2 linked regions of the Nothobranchius furzeri genome follow. The protein of the gene in region 1 purifies or fractionates together with the protein of each later gene. This does not show direct contact. Links are inferred from orthologs where the notes say so. Each region holds a gene or a part of one and is shown on either strand. Other genes may lie near its edges. The genes, in order: ptpn9a and lztr1.

Evidence for each region.
Region 2: the proteins of ptpn9a (region 1) and lztr1 purify together in Homo sapiens (affinity purification with mass spectrometry; 3 studies listed by BioGRID and IntAct, with this or other methods). This does not show direct contact. The link is inferred for Nothobranchius furzeri from reciprocal best matches to the Homo sapiens genes PTPN9 and LZTR1.

The regions. Positions count from the first base shown.
Region 1 is NC_091754.1:45,543,538-45,547,359, forward strand, and holds part of ptpn9a (tyrosine-protein phosphatase non-receptor type 9), read right to left. Parts: intron 3,773-3,822; coding exon 3,629-3,772; intron 2,265-3,628; coding exon 2,175-2,264; intron 1-2,174. UniProt on the Homo sapiens protein: Protein-tyrosine phosphatase that could participate in the transfer of hydrophobic ligands or in functions of the Golgi apparatus.
Region 2 is NC_091757.1:45,256,542-45,260,830, forward strand, and holds the start of lztr1 (leucine-zipper-like transcriptional regulator 1), read right to left. Parts: upstream 3,107-4,289; 5' UTR 2,883-3,106; coding exon 2,731-2,882; intron 2,646-2,730; coding exon 2,583-2,645; intron 2,500-2,582; coding exon 2,443-2,499; intron 2,365-2,442; coding exon 2,285-2,364; intron 2,194-2,284; coding exon 2,085-2,193; intron 1,908-2,084; coding exon 1,824-1,907; intron 1,745-1,823; coding exon 1,687-1,744; intron 1,584-1,686; coding exon 1,444-1,583; intron 1,360-1,443; coding exon 1,158-1,359; intron 966-1,157; coding exon 855-965; intron 776-854; coding exon 683-775; intron 572-682; coding exon 476-571; intron 158-475; coding exon 1-157. UniProt on the Homo sapiens protein: Substrate-specific adapter of a BCR (BTB-CUL3-RBX1) E3 ubiquitin-protein ligase complex that mediates ubiquitination of Ras (K-Ras/KRAS, N-Ras/NRAS and H-Ras/HRAS).

The sequences.
Region 1 (3,822 bases):
TGCATTTTTTACTGTTTGAGCATTGGAACGAGCCCCCGCGCTGATAGAACAAACATCCCAGCCCTGAAGCCGATCTTCATCCGCCTACATCACAGATCACATGATCAGGAAGCAGACCATCCATGTGTTTGGAGATCGTTTTGGGCCGTTCCTGTAAAAAAAGTGAGGCGCGAAACGGAAAAGCGTCTGCCGATCACAATTCGACAACGGATTATGAAAGAACGGATAACGCTCAAAACACACGGCTTCTTCCTGATGTAAGAGGTGAGTCTCCTCTTTGTTTAGGTTGTTTTGGCATCGACATCATGCTAGCGCGCAACGTTCTGTGACTCTTAAAAAAACAGTAAAAACGGTGAGAAAGGCAGCGAAGGCCGTTAGCAATCAGGAAACGGCTGGCAGTGGATGAGTTAATTTATCCCAAAAGGGCTTTGAGGGAGGAAATATTGTTAATCATATCGAACAAATATCAGACCACCTGTCTGCGATTTCCTACTGGAACAAGGTTTAAGAAAACCCAGACAGCTACACCTCGAGCCCGGTTCACTGCCCTGCAGGATTTTATGTGTTTATTCATTTAGGAGAAGCTTTTATCCAAAGCGACTTACCATTTATAACCTATAGGGCATGCTGTGATGTTTTGGTTTATAATTTGATGAACACTGGAAGTGTCTATCCCCTACACACAGATAATGCAACATAAGTCATTTGAAGACATACATATAAGTGTGGCAGGGTTTTCCCCCACAAATCTTGCTAAGCCTTTTGGTAGAGCAGCCCACCATGCCCAAAATGTTTTCAGGAAGTTTTAAATCATGATTAATATGTGTTGTTATAAACCATTTATATACTTATTTATGTAAACTGACAATACTTGTCAATATGAGGATGTTAAAATTTGCAGTTTTGTATGCCTCCATTACATTGCAGAGATGCTACTGACTTTACACAGATATTGGATCTGCTTTTTATTATTATTATTTTTTACAATGTACTGTCCAGCTGTGAAGCTTTCAGAATTGATGTATGAATGCTGAAGACAAGCCTTACAGTTTTTCTCTCACAGGTGGAGCGTTATAGCTTCTGGTATGATGCCACACCTGATACCAAAACTTCATTAGAAATGTTTTCGGTGGTTTAAAATCACAGCGGACACGGAGACAGAAGTGAAAAAGAAAGGGGGAGAGAAAGGAAGTGGTCGTGGTGGTGGGGGGTTAAAAAATAAACCAATAAATAATGAACAAGTATGTATGTCTAGAACTGCAGAAAGAGAGAGAGGAGAGGACACAAAAATACAACAAAACCAAAATATCATTGCACCCACAACAGGAGGATATATAACAGTAACCATTTTCACTGAAAGGCACACGTTAAAAATTCTGTGCATTAAGTGCCAACCAAAGCCTTAGGTCAGGTGTTTAAAATGCCCAAGTCCATAAAAGTGAGAGCATCATGTGAGCATCTGTGTGCATACATGCGCTTGTGTAACATAACAATTTTGATATAAACTCAAGATATTCTTAACATACTCCATCTTGTAGAGGCATCCGCCATATTTAGGGTCAGCTAACCATTTAGGATTAAAGCAGCTGGTTTAATGTTCATAGTCATGGCTTAGGCCCACAGGTGGTTGCTCCAACGACGTGCCAACTCGCACTTGCTCTGCGTCATCATCAAGCCACCACTCGATCAGCTCAAGGGAGATGCACTTCCTGCGCCTATCGTCTCACCATTTAAATTTTAAATGTTAATTTGGTGCATTAAAATGATTTGAAATAAATAAGTGACACTTAGCCTGTAAAGCACTGGGGAAAACCCTGTGTAGAGTGATGTGTGTGTGTGTGTGTGTGAGTCAAAGTTTGACCCATTTTTCCATAAAAATTTTCTTTATCAAATCTCAATTTGTGTAGAAAATAACTTTTGCAGTTCTCAAACTTTTTATGTGTAAACCACTTTAGAAATTAAGCACCTGGGCTCTTCTCTCTCTACAAATAATTTTTTGGTTTAGCATTTTTTTTGGGTTGTGCTGTTATGAATCTGATGACACCCCCCACCACCACCCTGGCCTCTTTATATAAGTAACAGTATCAATAAATAATAGTCTGAATATAAAACGCGGAGTTTAGTAACCTGACCCAAAACCTTGCGTTGAAGCCACAGTGGCGTGCATGACTTACCAACACCGTGAACTTCCCACTCAGCAGTTCTGAGCGTAGCGGCTCCTCGTGAGGCTGAAGTCTGACAATTCCTTCTTTAAGACGTGTTTCCTGAAGAAAGCAAATTACAGCAGGTGAGGAGGGCGGGGGCTGGAAAATCTAATTCTTGTCTGAGAATAACAGATTTTCAGAGAACTTTACCCTCAACCTTACTTTAAGTTTTTAAGACCAACACATCTTGAATGAGTTCATGGCAGGCTTGGTAAGCCAGCGTCCTTCCTAGCCTTCGCCATATTCTCGCATTATCCCGTAGGATAACGTGTACGTTTTGCTTTGGGAGCCCCCATTTTTGGAACATGTCTGTGAAAGCTTTAGAGATGGCAGCCACCATGTGTGATCCAGGAAACTCTTGTGAGTGAAGCGCCACTCTCCTCAGCTCAAACGTCTGATCAATAAGCTGTGCAGTTAGACTCAGCATCGATATGGTACTCACACTAGAACTCCAAATGTCAGTCGCAAAGCCGACCGACACGATGTTGTCATCCTAGAAAAGGCTTTGGATTTGACTGTAAATACAGTGATATAGCTCCGACAGGCATTCGTCAGTGAAATATTTACGAGTAGGCAGCTTGTAGCTCAAAGCAGTTAATGAGGCGTTTAAACCCGATATCTTTGGCAAGCGGCTGACGGTCAAGGCATATTAATTCCATGACCTTATGACTTAGTTCTTTCTTTTTGTTGATGTTGCTGCTGCACGTTGCTTTTCTCTCTCTGCCTTAGCAGCAGCCAAAGTTGTAAACTCGGTGTACTCCTTGGTGTGAGAAACTTTCAAATGTCATATCAGGTTTGTTGTGTTGAAATTCTTTTGTAGCATTCCTGCTTCTCTGAGCTACTGGTTTTTACTCCCCTGCAGTCTCTGAGGTCGGCTGATAGGATGCTTCTGGAAGTCCCTGAAACAAGTCGTAAGCTCAGAGGTGACAGGGCTTTATCTGTAGCGGCCCCTAGGCTCTGGAATGAGCTGCCTTTGAGCATTGGGTCAGCCTCTTCACTGTCTGGTTTAAATCTCTTTTGAAAACCTATTTTTATGATTTGGCTTTTACTCAGCATGAGTCTTTTTTTAGTATTTTTAGTGTTAGTTCTTAAGCTTTAGTCTATGCATTTTTATGTTGTGTATTGTTTTTTAATGTTTTAATTTCTGTGAAGCACTTTGGTCAGTTTTATACTGTTGTAAGGTGCTATACAAATAAAGCTGCCTTGCCTCGGCGTATCTCCTTTGCGCACACGTTGAAAACTGCAAATTCGTTGTCCTTTTCGGACACATTGAAAAATTTACAAGGACCTCCACCTACACAAGAACTTGTTCAATGATTAATCTGGAGCAGTGTCACTTTAACATGATGCTAAATGAAAGCCACCATATTCTTTAGTTCTTTAATGTGGTTCTGGTTGTGGTTAGAGCCAGACGGTCTCCTCACCCTGTAGCTGTGGAACAACTCGATGGCACGGAGGACGTCAAACTTGCGAGCCATGAGGAACTTGACGGCCAAATCCCTGGAGAGCGGCGACACGCTGTGCTGACTGGTCCATTTGTTGATCTCCTCTAGAAACTGGCTGGTTGCCTGAAACAGACCAGATGTTACTCATAGATCTTCATCTGTGTGTTTGGTGC
Region 2 (4,289 bases), on another chromosome or scaffold:
GAAACTGCATCAAGACTTCAAAAGGCTGGGCCTCTGCTTCCCTGATGGATACCTCCAGCAGAGGCTGCATGCCCGATGGCCTATTGCCGGCTGGGATATCCCTCGGGCCTCCAGCTGCTCCCTCATCCCTTTCCTCACTGCTCTCCTGTTTGGTTCTCTGCAACGCGGCAAATTATGCAACACTCCTTTACCCAATCCATTCTCACGGAGCACCTGCTAACATTCTATGTGGATATTTGAAACGGTTGTGCCGATTTTATATCACAAGCCTTGATGCTCAAAACTAGCTTTATTTTGTTCCTGTAAAGAAAACTAGTTGTCCTTTTATGTTGCAATTATTTCATTTGCAGCTTCCACTTGGCTTCATTTCTACATAATGTAAAAAGTACCTTCTTGAGTCATATTAATACTTGTGGGGCTAAAACTGTGATTAAGTCCTGTAGTCTCAGGAAACATGAGGCGTGCTGACTCAGACCTGTCGCTGCCTATCCCGGGCCTGCAGGATTTTCCTCCGCAGCCACTGGCACCTCGCGGTCACTATGGCGATATGCCCCAAGACTCTCTCCTCCCTCTGTAAACAACACAACAGGAGATGAGAAAAAACATGTTTACCTTCCATGTGATTTTAATCAGCTACTTCAAAGCTTAACCTCCGTTTTTTCTTTTAACAATTAAGACCCACCTCGCCCAGAATGAACTCCACGTCACAGAACTGACGGTTCTCCCACAGTTTACCGTAATCCTCGTGGAGAGTGCACTTTGGGTAGCTTGAGAACTGCAATGTAAACATTTGAATGTGATCAGTTTTAGACCAAGTTGTCTAAAGAAAATTTACTTTCTTTGTAAACACTCACCTGGAATCTATACATCTCCCCACTGCGAACATTGTTATCCACAGTCCCTCCAAAGATGTACATGGCATCTTGGATCACAGCCGCAGCGTGGAAGAGCCTCCCGCTCGGCATCTGTAGGGTTCAAATTGGTTTTCAGGATGGAAACATCATGCAATGAGCATCAAATAGGACTACAAGCCCAAGTGAAATTATTGAAGGTTTTAGCGACAAAATCAAGAATCTCCTATACTCTAATCGATGAAGTATCTATAAACAGAACAATAATGATAAAGAAAATATAAGGAAAACCATTTTGGTTCATACTTCACTGTCAAAGCTGGGATGGATCACCTCCCAGGTCTGAGAGTCCACATCATAACAGTGCAGCTCATTGGGTAGCGTGTTATCAGCAGCACCTCCAAATACGTACAGGTGGCGGTCAAAGGCGACCATAGTGTGTCCGTAACGTCTCTGAGGAGGTGGAGGAGAGCCCCGCAGCAAGTGCTCCGTTGGGATCCGCGTCCACCTGAGAAGACGTTGGAGTCCTGTGTGACTTTATCCAACACACACACTACTTATGGTTTGACTCATCAGGAAAGGCAATGCTCACATGTGGCCTTTGAATTCAAACTGAAAGAGGTTATTAGTGATCTTGGCTCCACTCTGACCAGAAAACACAAACATCTTATCCCTGCACACCGCTACTGGGAAGTTGCAGCAGGATGGAGGAATTTCACCACTTTGAACAATCTGGCGGTGACAAAACCAAACAGAGAGATATAAAAACATGGATTCAGTCTTTCTGGATCTTTTGTTTTTGTCCATTTTAAATGTGTAGGTGAAGTTAACTAGCCTCTTCCCAGCATGCATGATCACGATCCTGCAGACTGATGGTCCACATGTCGTTTAGTCTACGTACACAGAACATAAACTTATTAGGAACGCAGAGATGAATGTGTAGATGTAAAAACAGAATGTTATCTCACACACCTGGCATTCCCGTCATAGCCAGCAAATATCCACAGCTTGTCGTTGTAGACTGTAGCTCCATGTGCAGATCTGGCCACCGGCAAGCTAAAACAGCCACAAGACTTGTACAAATCAGCTTCTATCCTCACAGTTAGCAAAAAAAAAATTGTTTGATTACATGGAGAGAAAATACACTTTAGACAATTTCACTCTCAAAATTAACATGAGCCCAGATACTGGTGCCAACTAATTTCATATACACAAAAAATAAATGAATATTACCTTCCTTCCACTTTCCATTCAGTCCATTGTCCTGTGGCAAACTTATACTCAAACAGGTCGTTCTTATTTTTTAGGTTTGAATTGGAATATATGTCTCCGGTGTAGCCCCCTGGAAAATAAAATACAGACACCATACTCGTTTATTTCAAAATAATCTAAGTTTTTGCAGTTTTTGCAGATCTAAAATCAGCCAACTTTACCAAAGACAAACATGCTGCTGCCATAGACCACAGCTGAGTGGTGATATCTGGGAGCAGGTGGAGTTCCAGTGGTGAAAGCTCTGTAAGGCACAGTTTTCCACTGGTGTTAAAGTCAGATTCTTGATTTAAAGCGTTTCTTTTGGTTGCTGCAGTCTTACCGACACCAAGAGCAGTCCTTCACATCGAAGCGGAGCAAATCATTCAGCATGTTCTTCCTGTAGGGTGCAACAGAGTTAGAACACATTTATGTATGCAAAAAATAAAAATAAAACACCCATCCCTGTCAACAAATTCTCACCCATTATCTCCTCCAAACACGTATATGGCGTCCCTGTATGCCACAACTGTGTGTTTGCTGCGCCTGTGTGAGGATGCAAAACACCCAGAATGAACAGGGGTCAACACGCAGTATGTCCTCTCATGTCTCTGATCTGACAGTTTGATACCTGGCACCAACAAACTCATCACACGGAGGAAGTCTTCTCCAACGATGGACAGTCTCAAACGGGCCAAAGTTGAGCGTCAAATATTCCACGCTGTCGGAGCAGCTGTGATCAAAATCAACACTCGGGGCGACTTTGGTTGATTTACAAGACATTTCGCTAACTCATCTGATCAAACTCAGGGCCACTCATCTGAAAGGACGCCCTCTGTTAGCGACATTTCTCTGTACAAATGAGCGTTTTATTTCTCTGCTAACGAGATTAAACGCGTGGAAAGAATAAATTGCGCTTTGTTAAAGGTAGAAACTGCGACCCAACTAACAATTAGCTACTAGCTATGCTCAGAGCTAGCCTCGGCTAGCTAGCTATCGTCACGCTATGCTACAAACAACTGAAAGGTTAGCTAGTAGCGGCTAAAGTTACACTAAAAGTTCCGTTTAACCGACTAAATACTTTTTCGATTCGAAATACTTATTTAATGATGTCTTAACGAAGGTACAACATCAGGACTACTGAAATAAAAGGACAGTTATCAGGATCAGATGTCAACCACGCCCCCGTAGCACCGGTGTTTTACCGAAAAATAGCAACCCCCGCAGAACTAGCTCGCCATACACATTGTAACAAGCCAAATAAAGTTGTGTCTTTCATTATATTAAAACACTGATTCTGAAGACTTAAAAAACTTTTACTGAACCCAGTAGTTAAAAAAGGCTAATGAAATGCGCTTCCGGTGATGGGGAACTTTACAAGGCAGGAGTGCCTTTTTCTGATACAACATCAGTGAAGATTCCACTTCCTGTATGTTAATTTCAGAAATGACAAAATAATAATAAAAAGAATAATTTCAGAAATGACTAAAATAGATGCCACATTTGTTGTATATATTTGTCAAGAAAAAATACAAAATTAGTAAATACATTTTAAAATTTCAAAAAATTTTGAAGATGACAATATTTTGCATCATAATAACCAATAGTTGAATTTTTCAAACTGATTGAATAATTTGTGGATTTTTCATTTATAAGTCCATATGAGGCTCATAAATCTAAAAGATCCATAAGATTTGTAATTAATCTGTATATTTTTGATTTGTGATCTTTTTCCAGTCAGATGTTCTTAATAAACATTAACACTCCTGGTATTATGCCTGCTACTGTTTATCCATATAATCATAATAGTACCCACCTGATGTCCTCAGCTGCATCCATAGCGAGTGTCATCTATTTTGCATACTTCATTTTACTTGTAAATAAGAGTTAATGTCTAACACAAAAACTGAAAAAATACTTTAATGGGTCAGAAGGGTACTTTTGTCACTATCCTTCCATGAACATTCTCGTACCTCAGTCAATGTCAACTCGTTCAGTCTGGCATTTTTCATCAAAGAACGAAAAATCACCAACATTCATGAACAATAAATCCAGACCCTGTTTGAGCCTCGGTTTACACGGTAATGGAGGGGTGGGGGATAGTGAGTTTTATAGAATTGTTTTAAACACATTCAAAAATACATTTCAGTAATTTCTTTAGAAATGTGATCACATAATATTTTACATAAA